3 linked regions of the Drosophila melanogaster genome follow. The protein of the gene in region 3 interacts with the protein of the main gene of each other region in a pairwise test. Each region holds a gene or a part of one and is shown on either strand. Other genes may lie near its edges. The genes, in order: CG14383, CG18262 and AMPdeam.

Region 1 (3,445 bases), on a different chromosome or scaffold from region 3:
TAAAATCAGGCAACTAAGGATCTTTCCGAACTTACAAATAGCGTATTGGTGTTCCTTATTATCTTGTTGGCCTCAGCTGCACTGCTAATGCTCACACCTGCTATGGACAGTAGCTGATCACCGATGTGTAGGGCATTGTAGAGCACAGGGTGTTCCTTCTGCTTCCAGCCTGCAATCCTGTAAACACAACTAGTTAGTGAATCATACCAATTGCTTATACAATTTCCAAATATAATTCGGTCTACATACAATCACCGTGGAGATGATACGAAGTTCTCTCTAACTTACCAAACGCCACCGAAGGCTTCTACCCAAGCGATGGAACCGACGCAGTCCTTGCGCCTTAGATTCAGTCGCACTCCTCCAGGATGCATAATCTCGCGACGCAGCTGCATCACTTGCTGCTCCCGCAAAGTCAATCGCTTGTTGGGCGACTGCTGGGCGGGATTGGTGCTTGACGGAGGTGTTCCCTGTGGCGGTGGCTGCATACGAAAGGCTCCGTTTCGGGATGGCGTAAACTCGTTATTGTTAGCGTTACGCTGCGTTGCGGGCTGAGGGACCCGCTGAAGTGGAGCCTGGGCATCGGATGTGGACGAACTGCGTCGCCGCTGCTCCTGGCTGTCACCGGTTACAATCGAGGTGTTATTCCTTTGCGTTGGCGTAACTTGGGTACTATTGGAGCTGGAAGGCGTGGATTGTTCAATGTTGTTATTCGCGGCGCTGGTTGACTTGTGCGATGTCTTCGTTTTCAGTGGCGTGTTCAACAGCTTTAGGTAGTGGAAATCCCTTCTACTTGGCCGCGAACTAATGACCAGTTCGGTTAGTCCTCGGGTCAACTGCGGCGTCGCCCTGCCGGCTGCATTGGGGGTCACTGGTTGCGCCGTTGCCGGCGAAGCCAACCGACGACGTGGCAAAGCTGGACTGCCATTAGTCACTGGCTGTGTGGTATTCGTGTTTGCCACTCTTGTGGGACTGCTTCTGCTGGTGATCGGAATGCTGGAGGAAAGGAAGACCTTCTCGTAGTGGATATTACCACTGATTATGGAGTCACTGCCCTGTTCTGTATTCACGCTAATATTCGTAATGCCCGAGGTGTTGGCACTGAGTATTATCTTTTTACTTAATCTGGGCGTCTGCGGCTTGGCAGGATTAACAGAGGAAGAGGCTGCGGAAGAACTGGGTGCACTTCCTCCGGCCGCTGGATAGCAGGTGCCGTAGACAGCCACCTTGGTGGTTGCGTCTCCGTCACCCAACACCTTTACTTTCGTGGTGCCCGACACCTGTGAACTGGAGCCATTGGACGAGCTTTGCTTAACGGGCGTTGTATACGGATTGCTGCTACTGGACTGTTTGCCAAGGACTTGAATGGTACTGGTACTGCTACTGGCGTTGGACGGAATGATTTGTACGTTGCTTTTATACTCGTGATGGGTCTGGATTGGCTGCTGCTTGGCATTAGTCTGGGGCTTGCTCTTAACCTCAGGGAATCGAAACACCTCAGCGGTGGTGGTGTTCTTGGGCGGCAGTTCGGGTGGATGTTCCTGGCCACTGTTGGCGGTATTCGACACTTGGATAATTGTGATGTTGTCCTGAGAGTCCGCACTGTTCGTAGGAGCGGCGCTCGAAGATTGGGATTGGAGGGGCTTGCGTTGCGGTCGCTTTGATTTGTCTGCCGCTCCAGCTGACATGGATCGCGATGTTTGCGGTCTAAAAGAAAACAGGAATACATTTTAATATTTGATAAAGAATGCTGACGTCATAGTAGGCTGATTTCTAAATCACAAGCCAGTTTGATATAAACAAATCTTGGAGACATGGCCAAACCGTTTTCTTTGACAGAGGAGAAGCTAGATGACCTATTTGTGCAGGAGGTTGTCAGTGTGGTGAAACTGGTGGACATGCTGCCCGATAAAGATAACATTGTGCCCACATGCACCCGATGGCTCAACATCTTCCAGCAGTCAACGCCGAAGGAACGCTTTTCCAGAAACTATATGCTACTGCTCCTTCATAAACAACTCAATGATCACAAATCGTTGGGTTATCCATTTACGTGGCCGGGCAGTTTCCAGTTGGATTTGCGCACTCTTCACCAAATGAGCCTAAAACCGAATCCCGCAATCGGCAAAGATGTTGTATGCTGCAAATTTGATGAAAGTTTGAATGAGGAGGAACAGTCTTCTTTTAGTTCATGCGAGAATATAGTGGAGGCCAATCGTAGGTTGGTCAAAGAAAACGCTGCACTAACCAAGGAGTCGATGGAGCTTCAATGTCTGATCGATAAGTTGCAGGTGAAACGCGCGGCGGACAAACATGCCATTAAAAGGATAAATGATCAGATTTACATGCTGGACAAGGAGAACCGATATCTGAAGCGAAATTTCGCCTGCTCCTCAATCAGCGCCCTAAAAAGACTATGCAATGGACAGGATCCGGCGATGTTTTTTGACACCATGTTCAGTGTTTTCTGCGAAGACGTATCAGACCACCAGCAGGTGCAGCACTTTAACGAACTCTTCAAAACCTTGCTACATGCCCACATGGATCACTACCGGCGACAGCAGCGTGCTCCTCTGATGGAGGAGGCAAGCCAAAGTTTTGACAATCTGAAAGCCCAGGTGAGCAAGAGATACAAAAATGTGTTGGGCATGAAATTGGATGCCGAGAGCCACGAGCTCACCCTCAGTGCCATGAGATATCTAGCCGTCCTGCGAAAATTGTTCAAGGCCACCTTTAAGGGCAAAGCGAGCACCAAGAAGGCAGTACTCAAGTTCCTGCAGCACAACTACGAGCTTATGAACGAGATGTTGTAGGATGGATTCACTCACCTGGGAATCAGTCGTTCGCATTGCAGAATGTGCTCCAAATTTAGGACTTGATCTACAATTTTAGGTTATATTTTGTAATGTTAGAGTAAAAATTAAATATATTTAGGTTATATAAAAAATATTCATACCGGCAGAAACGCGCTGTCCAGTGACCACCACGACGTCAACGCGAGCTCCATTCTCGGTAAGCATACATGCCTTGCGCAGCAAGGGCGACAGGTATTCGTCATCCGAGAGATTCAAATCGGCATCACTAGTGGTCGGTTGCTCCGCTGGAGGTTCCTCAGCTACAGCAACATCTTCCTGACCAGAGGCTGACTCTACCGACTCACTGATCTGCTCGCTGTAGGTGCTTATGGGATCGGAGAGCATGTTGAGGAGGTGCTGCGTTAAAGTGTTGGACATGGCAGCGGGAGCAGGGGCAGGAGGTGCAGGTGTGGTGGGCACTGGACTTGTTGGTGGCTCAGGAGGTGGTGCTGGCGGAGCCTGATGGCTGGGTGCCACCACACGCTCGACGCCCGGTACCAGAGCCGCCGGAACTGGAGGAGGTGGTGGCAGTGGCGATGTGGGATCCCGCGTGGGCAGCAACGGTGCGCGCACTTCAGGTAGCTTCGTGT
Region 2 (3,756 bases), 5.7 Mb from region 3:
GCAGCTGGTAGTAAGCATAACACTGCGGTAACCAAGACATCCATGCTGGCAATCCCGACATGAGACATATGTACACACTTGGGGGATCACCGAATCCGTAACTTAACTATCCTAGAGATGCGATGCACAACACAAAAAAAAAAAAAAAAAACAAATCAGAAGAGAGGGAAAACAAAGCGAGACGGCATCTGTCCTGGACAAATGCATCCCCCAACAATAAGGTGCCACATGGCTTAGGCCCACACCCGTATGGTGTAGTCCCAACTGCCGGTGGATAGAGCGGTGCCATCGGGCGAGACCTGGACGCAGGACACCTTGTTCTCGTGCCCGTACAGCAGGCAGACCCTTTCCGATTTCAGCGTGTCCCACAAGTTGACGGTGTAATCGTTGTAGCCAGCAAACAGTAATCTTCCACTGACCGAAAAGTCCACCGAATTGACGCCAAAGATGATGCTCTCCTTGGCGAACACGGCCACCTCGCGATCCGCTCGCATATCGTACAGCCGGCAGCTGCTGTCATCCGATCCAGTGGCTATGGCATCTCCGCAAGGATGGAACTTAACGCTATTCACATCCGATTGATGACCCTCGAAGGACTGAACGACATGACCAGAGCGCATGTCCCAGATGAAGGCCATGCGATCGCAACTGCCCGAGACAAAGGTGTTGCCCGTTTCGTTGGGAGCCAAATCGATGGCCATTACATCGCCGGAATGTCCGTGGAAGCTTTGCAGTAGCTGGCCCGATTCCACGTCCCACAAAGCGCATGTGGAATCGCCACTGCCCGTGAGGATTTGCTGATCGGAATTCGGATAGATGCAGCACGACATGTAGCTGGTGTGGGTGCCCACTGTGCGCTTCTTGGCGGCCATCTCCTCATCGGAGGTTATCGGATACACGGTGACCTTATTGTCTAGTCCGCCGCAGGCCACAAAATTGCCCGACGGCGCGTAGGCACAGGCCATAATCCAGGTGGTGGGCATGGTGACGGCGTGCTCCTTGTTCGTGGTGAACGCATCCCAGATGATCAGACGTCCGTCCTGCGACGAGGAGATGATGTGACGCTTGTCGGGACTCCAGTCGGTGCACAGGACCTTCGCCTGGTGGCCCTTGAGCACCTTACGCGGCTTGATGTTCACATAGGCGATCTGCTCCAGCCGCTCTGCGATGTTCGACAGATTGACGTCGTTCAGCTTCTGGCGCTCCTCCTCCAGTTTGGTCTTCAAATTCTCCGCCTCTCGCACCAAACTGGCCATCTTTTCAGTGGCATTCGCGTTCGCATTGCTCGCTGGCACCGCCGCCTCCGACATGGTTGCTCTGAGATGGCGCTTCTATGGATATCTCTCGGGGATTGTGTGTCCTATCCCGTTCGAACTTCTCCAATTGGACAGCGAAAAATCAATCCGAAAAAAAGTGTATACTCGAATACGAAAATCCGAATACACAGCGATAGGCGCGGTCGGTTATCGATAAGTTTTACCGTTGGTAAATGGCAGAATGTACCGTTACATATCCTTTATTTTCGGAGAACTTGATAAAAGATTGTGACGATGTTATTATTATTAATTTTCATCAATATGACAAGGTATTGATGAAAATTGGCGTCAAAATTTGTTAAATTTTTGTTCTGTTTTTGTTAAAAGCCGGTTTTCCGAATTTCCCTCATAAAATAATCAGTTTTTTGCCCAGAACTTTGAAAATAATTGACCAAATATGGTATGTCATATCTCGTTGAACTCGTAATGAAATTTCCAATCGAATTGCATTCAAATTTGCGAATTCAAAATTTTTCCATTTTTTTGCAAATTTTAATTTAATGTTACCCCTTAAAAAACATGAAAAATATGACACAAAAATAAATTTTTCTATGCCCGCCCAAAAGTGATAGGGTTCGTTAGTAGTGATAATTGGCTGTTCAAAACAGTTATTCTTTAAGCTGCATGATGATTTTCCGCCAAGTTATGACTAGAAACTACTTGTGATAACGAACTTATCGGAGTAAATACCATTTCAAATGTGGCGCCACAACCAAGGTAAGCTCAACACTGCGGTTCGTTAGCCAACACTACCATCAGCTGGGGAAAACCACCCTTCCCCACCCCCTTGAAACAAACACTTACAAAAAAGCGACGCCAACGGCTGGAATCCTCTGCTAATCCGGAGCCAGTTGACCGCCACTTCCACACAGGCAGACCAGGGAGCAAGCCGCGATGATCAAGGTGCAGCCACCGCCGGATGTGGCCGGTGGCTACCACAATCTGCGTTGCGGCGAGGTCTTATTCAGTGCACCCGCCTCCTACGAAGTGAGCTGCTTGCTGTGCGACCAGCGTTTGCCGTTGGACGGCTACCCGGAACACTTCCGGCTGAAACACTTCACGAACAGCTCCAGCTCGCTGTGTTCCAACGAACTGGAAAGCGATCCCATTGCCCAGGACGTCGTCGAAGTACAGGGAAATGAGGAGCTACATGAGGAACTGGCAAAGGAAGCTAGCCCGGACTTAGAGGAGGAGGAGGAGGAGAAGGAGGAAGGTTCCAAACGCCAGCATTACCAGCGTGCAGCGGCCATGAAGAACACCCTGGTGGAGACTCGCGAGGATTTGCTGGACATCGAACTCGACTGGACGGGCGGCGAGCAGTCGGAGCATAATGAAACTCACGAGGAGGAGGAGGGGGAATCGGATGATGATGACACGAAGGACAGCAACGACACGAAGGACATGCTCTTCCAATGCGATCAGTGCGACCGGGCGTACAACACCAAACGCAGCCTGCAGAGCCATCGCCGCCTAAAGCACAGCGAAGCCAACGGCGGAAGTCTGGACAAATCCGCCAGTGAACGCAATAGCAAGAAGCGGAAAGGTCCGCCGAAGGTGTACAAATGCAACGAGGAAGCCTGCAACCAGACATTTCGCACCGAACGCGATCTGCGCGGCCATCGCTGGAAGCACACGGGAATCTTCTGCGACATTTGCGGCAAACCCTTCACCCAGTCGGGCAACATGATGCGCCACCGCCAGCGACACAGTGGCATCAAGCCGCACAAGTGTCCGGAATGCGACGCGACCTTTTACACGCAAAAGGAGCTCTCCTCGCACAGTATCTGCCATACTGGTCGCATGCCCTGCATCTGCGAGGTGTGCGGACGACCTTGCCGAGATCGAGGCGTTCTCACGGCGCATATGCGTCGCCATACGGGCGAAAGGCCGGCCAAATGCGAGGTGTGCGGCAAGGCATTCTATAGCTTTCATGACCTCAATGTCCATGCTGTATCGCATACCAATTTGCGGCCCTTCGTCTGCGACGTTTGCGGCTCCACGTTTCAACGGAAGAAGGCGCTGCGGGTGCACAAGCTGCTCCACTCTGAGCAGCGCAAGTACGCGTGCAAATTGTGCGGCAAGACGTTCGCCCAGTCCGGCGGTCTAAATGCCCACATGCGCAGCCATGATCCGGCGAGAGTTAAGGGAGCTGTGAAGCCGCTGCCGCAATCGGTCACCATCGAGGTGATCGAGGGCAAGAGTCCGCCCACCACCACCATCACCATGGCCATCGACCTCAATGTGGAGGAGCAGCTGGTAAAGCAAACCGAGACTGCACCCACCACTTGGCGCCTGGCCAACTGAGTAGCTAGCTAGGATTAATATAAGGTTAGATGTAGTTCATCTATAAGTTCCAAATTGCGCCATAATAAATGAGAGAAATCAGAAGATTGGAAATGAATTAATAATCGTAAGAAACCAGAAGGCAGATGCATAAAAC
Region 3 (3,756 bases):
TAAAGTCGTTCTTTTGCCGACTTTTCCTGGCTGCCATTACGCAAGTCACGGCCATATTTTCATGTGAAAATCAATAGTGGCCATCTCAGCGGGCACTTTGCCCAAGAAAAATTTAAAAAAAAACACGAAAATCCCGAACGCAGCAATTAATAAGTTCGCAATTCGGTCAATAAACACAAAACAAAGAGCGTTGCCAAAAATATAACGAGATAAAATGAAATGAGCTTAAGCACAATCGAATAATAAATTGAAACGTACAACAGATAAACAAACGCATATATGCACGTCTATAAGAATGCCCATCTTTCAATATATACATATGAATATATATATCTATATATACATAAACATATATATTTGCATAGTATATGTATGAATGTTTGCATATCGCACACTCGGCAAATAAGGCAAATGAACTGACAATGACTTGCAGACATGGCGAAAAGCGCACAATACCACCAGGTTGAACAAACCAATTGGCCTATGAAGCTATCAAAGAAAAAAGAAAAAAAGCTGAAAAAACTTCACATGGGTTATTAACAACCCACCGCTAACCACCGATACCGATACTCCATTGCCAATTCCAATTCCAATTCCAATTTTGGCTCCCATCTGGGGGCTATTGATAAGCCACTTCTGACAGGGCGTTAAACAAATCGAGCCGAGCCCTCCTAATAGAGGAAAGTTACCAGACTAGAATACGGAATAGCAAACTACGAATTTGAAGTGGTGTGTCAAGGAGGCAGCCTTATCGTACTTATCACTTGTCGATCGATTCGATCGAAACATCGCCAAAATGGATCATTAATTTGGTGGTCTACAAGTATTATGCAGAAATTATGTATTTGACAATGATAAATGAGCATATAGGTGGTTTCAAGTTGAGAAATAACCAATTCCATAATCAATTTAAAGAGTGGCACAGTATAATGCATTTTTGACCAATAAGGTCCGCCTTTTGGCCAAATTATTTATACAAATTTACCTAAAATGATGTATCGTACCTCGCTGAGTTTGAAAAGTAGTTTTTCATTTAGTATTTCAATATAAAAATTCTAAATTGTTGCCATTTTCGCAAATTTTGGGTTACAAAAATGGTAAAATTTTGAATTTGGGTATAAAAATAATCCATTTTTTGACCAAAACTTGAAAATTAGTGCTCCAAATATGGAATGTCATATATCGTTGAGTTCGTAATTAAATTTCCAATCAAACTGTATTTAAAAGTTAGAATTCCATTTTTTTGCAATTTTTTGCAAATTTTGATGATGGTACCCCTTACAAAAAATGCAAAAATTTACGAAAAAATTTTTTTTCCAAAATTCGTCAAAAAGTGATAGAATTAGTTAGCATTGGTAATTAGCTGCTCAAAACAGGTATTCTTTTATCTATATGACCATTTTTACCAAAGTTATGACGAAAATTCGGTTTGTAAATATCAAATTTTTGGTAAAAGTCGTTTTTCCGAATTTCAATAAATGGAAAAACTGTTAGTCCTTTAAATCACATGCCCATTCTTAGCTAATCAGAAGAGGTTAAAGTTAGAGACGATGCCATATTGTTAATCGTCTAATTTGTACATATGTATATATCTATTTTTTTTACTGGGTTCGAAGAGCTTTGATCTTGAAAACCCCCTTTGGCGTTCCACCCATTCGGCGTGGCTATATGCAGTTTGTTTATCCAAAATATTGTTTATAATTAGCAAACATTGTGGGCTTTCCGAGCTTTGTGCCGCAGCCGTGTTTGCTAGTGACTAGAAAGCTCCCTACCAACTTTACCCGATATATAAACTTTGGATCCGCTGGGATCGGGAGAGGTGTGAAACTATATAAAGAGTGAGAGAGGAGAGAAAGCAGAGGAAAATACTGAGGCGTAGACAAAGAAAAAAGCGAAAGACAGACGCGTAGGAGATGCGCGAATTGCGTCGAACGGAATTCAAACTAAATTAAGTGCAGTCGATCGCGGGCGGTATATATATTCCACCGATCCGAACCGACAGTTGCCCAAAGACATTGCCCCAGAGCAGAATATCGAGCAGAGCGGCGACACCTGTCACCGGGGGAATTACATAAAAAACAAAACAAAAATAAAAAAAACACAAACACTCAAGATTTTCACAACACACAAATCAGTAAACATCGGAGAAAAATCGAAACAAATCAACACGAAACACTCATTTGGATTAGCCGTTAGCCAATATAGACCGTTCAGGATCCCAGGATCCAGGATCTCAATTGCCGAGATGTCGTACCGCGGAATGCTGAGCACCTCGGACGGTTCGCCCGTCGAGCTGCGCGTCCAGGATGTGGACTCCTTTGACGGATCGATGATGTCCCATGCGGCCACCAATGCGGCCGGTCCGCTGGGCAGCAAGGCCAGCGGCAAGTCCCTCAACGCCTGCACCTCCATGTCCATGCCCCAAAAGCCGAGTTCCCTAAGGGCGACATGTAAGTCGCCAGTTCCCCAGCCGCTGCCCATGTAAGTGAATGCATCGCGACGACACAAGCCACACGAGCCACACGAACCACCCAACCGCCACCCACTGACCTCGTGCACTGCGCGAAAACACAGCAGTCCAGTTGGTAGCAAAACGTATGGCCTTAAATCAATGAAGATGGGCTAACTTATTTCTTGCAAATCATCGCTTACCTATTACAATATTATACCAAGTTGAATGTTTCTTTGTACATCTCTTTCTTTCGATGTCTTTGTCTTTGTCTTTCTCTCTCTCTCTATTTTCTCTGCTGCAAAAAGAAAGCAAATGACATTCACTCTCCCACGCACACAGCAAAGCACTCTCACTCAAAACAAAAAAAAAACCTGTAGCAATAACTCACACGGTTCGCTACACTCGAAGAAATGCCTTGTGTGGATGCAGATATGATCTTTGGTTACAAGCTGTATTTAAGAACTTCTTAACTTGTTAACAATGCTTGTTTTATTAAGCAAATATTGCCCACAAGCCGCATCAGTTGCCTGAAAATTGTTTAATTCATTTATTATTGTATGTACCACTGCATTGTTTCAGTGTAGCGCTAATCCTCTGTCGCTGCGCTGCCAATCAGTCGCAACATCTCTTGAGTCGCACTAACCCATATAGAAATATAGGAAAGTTATAATACCCTGTAAAGTGGTATAGCACTTGGGTTTCTTAAGATACATACTTCAAAATATACAAAAATAAAATGATAATAAATCAGTTTAGATTGCGTCAATCAAGTTTCTGCGAATATATCCCGGTGCCTTGTGGAATAATAAGCTTTTTAGTTAAGATAATTAGCCCACTTAAATATGATTCTTTGCGGCGGGTTTATTCCTTTGATGATAGGAGATTATTGTTGTTTTTGTGACCTTGAAGTGTATTCCAACTTCGGATCGTTTTAATCAGTCTCCTCATCTAGTTTGTTGTGTTTTGAGTGCGTGTTTTGATTTTGCCAGTATTTTTGCTATCTCCGCTAATCCCTCTCTCCTCCATTTCCGTCTCTTTCGTGCTGTTTTACACTGCAAAAAAAATATAAAAGAACAATTAAAATAAATAATATTAGCTATTATAATCTATATTTGAATTATTACCAAACATCCAAGTGATCTATTCAAATGATCTTGAATATCAGTTAGTTCGGATTAATAATTTCACAGTGAATCTAAGCTTATATGTAAATATTTTTCAGTGCCCTTCTTTTTTGTAAAACTTTGTTGTTCGCCCAATTTGTAGTCGCCAATCAATTCCGTGTGGTTGTTTTCTTGGAAGTC

What was found.
Region 1: the proteins of AMPdeam (region 3) and CG14383 interact in a two-hybrid assay, tested with the Drosophila melanogaster proteins (one large-scale study listed by BioGRID).
Region 2: the proteins of AMPdeam (region 3) and CG18262 interact in a two-hybrid assay, tested with the Drosophila melanogaster proteins (one large-scale study listed by BioGRID).

The regions. Positions count from the first base shown.
Region 1 is NT_033777.3:12,986,868-12,990,312, reverse strand, and holds CG14383 (uncharacterized protein), read left to right. Parts: upstream 1-1,801; 5' UTR 1,802-1,814; coding exon 1,815-2,813; 3' UTR 2,814-2,828; coding exon of another isoform or gene 2,829-2,880; 3' UTR 2,881-2,937; downstream 2,938-3,445. Other genes in the region: CG31342 (uncharacterized protein), read right to left, coding at 36-177, 289-1,707, 2,829-2,880, 2,957-3,445.
Region 2 is NC_004354.4:8,150,834-8,154,589, forward strand, and holds CG18262 (uncharacterized protein), read left to right. Parts: upstream 1-2,114; 5' UTR 2,115-2,210; coding exon 2,211-3,620; 3' UTR 3,621-3,700; downstream 3,701-3,756. Other genes in the region: Gbeta5 (G protein beta subunit 5), read right to left, coding at 234-1,310.
Region 3 is NC_004354.4:13,838,260-13,842,015, reverse strand, and holds the start of AMPdeam (AMP deaminase), read left to right. Parts: upstream 1-2,004; 5' UTR 2,005-2,245; coding exon 2,246-2,450; exon of another isoform or gene 2,451-2,454; intron 2,455-3,756.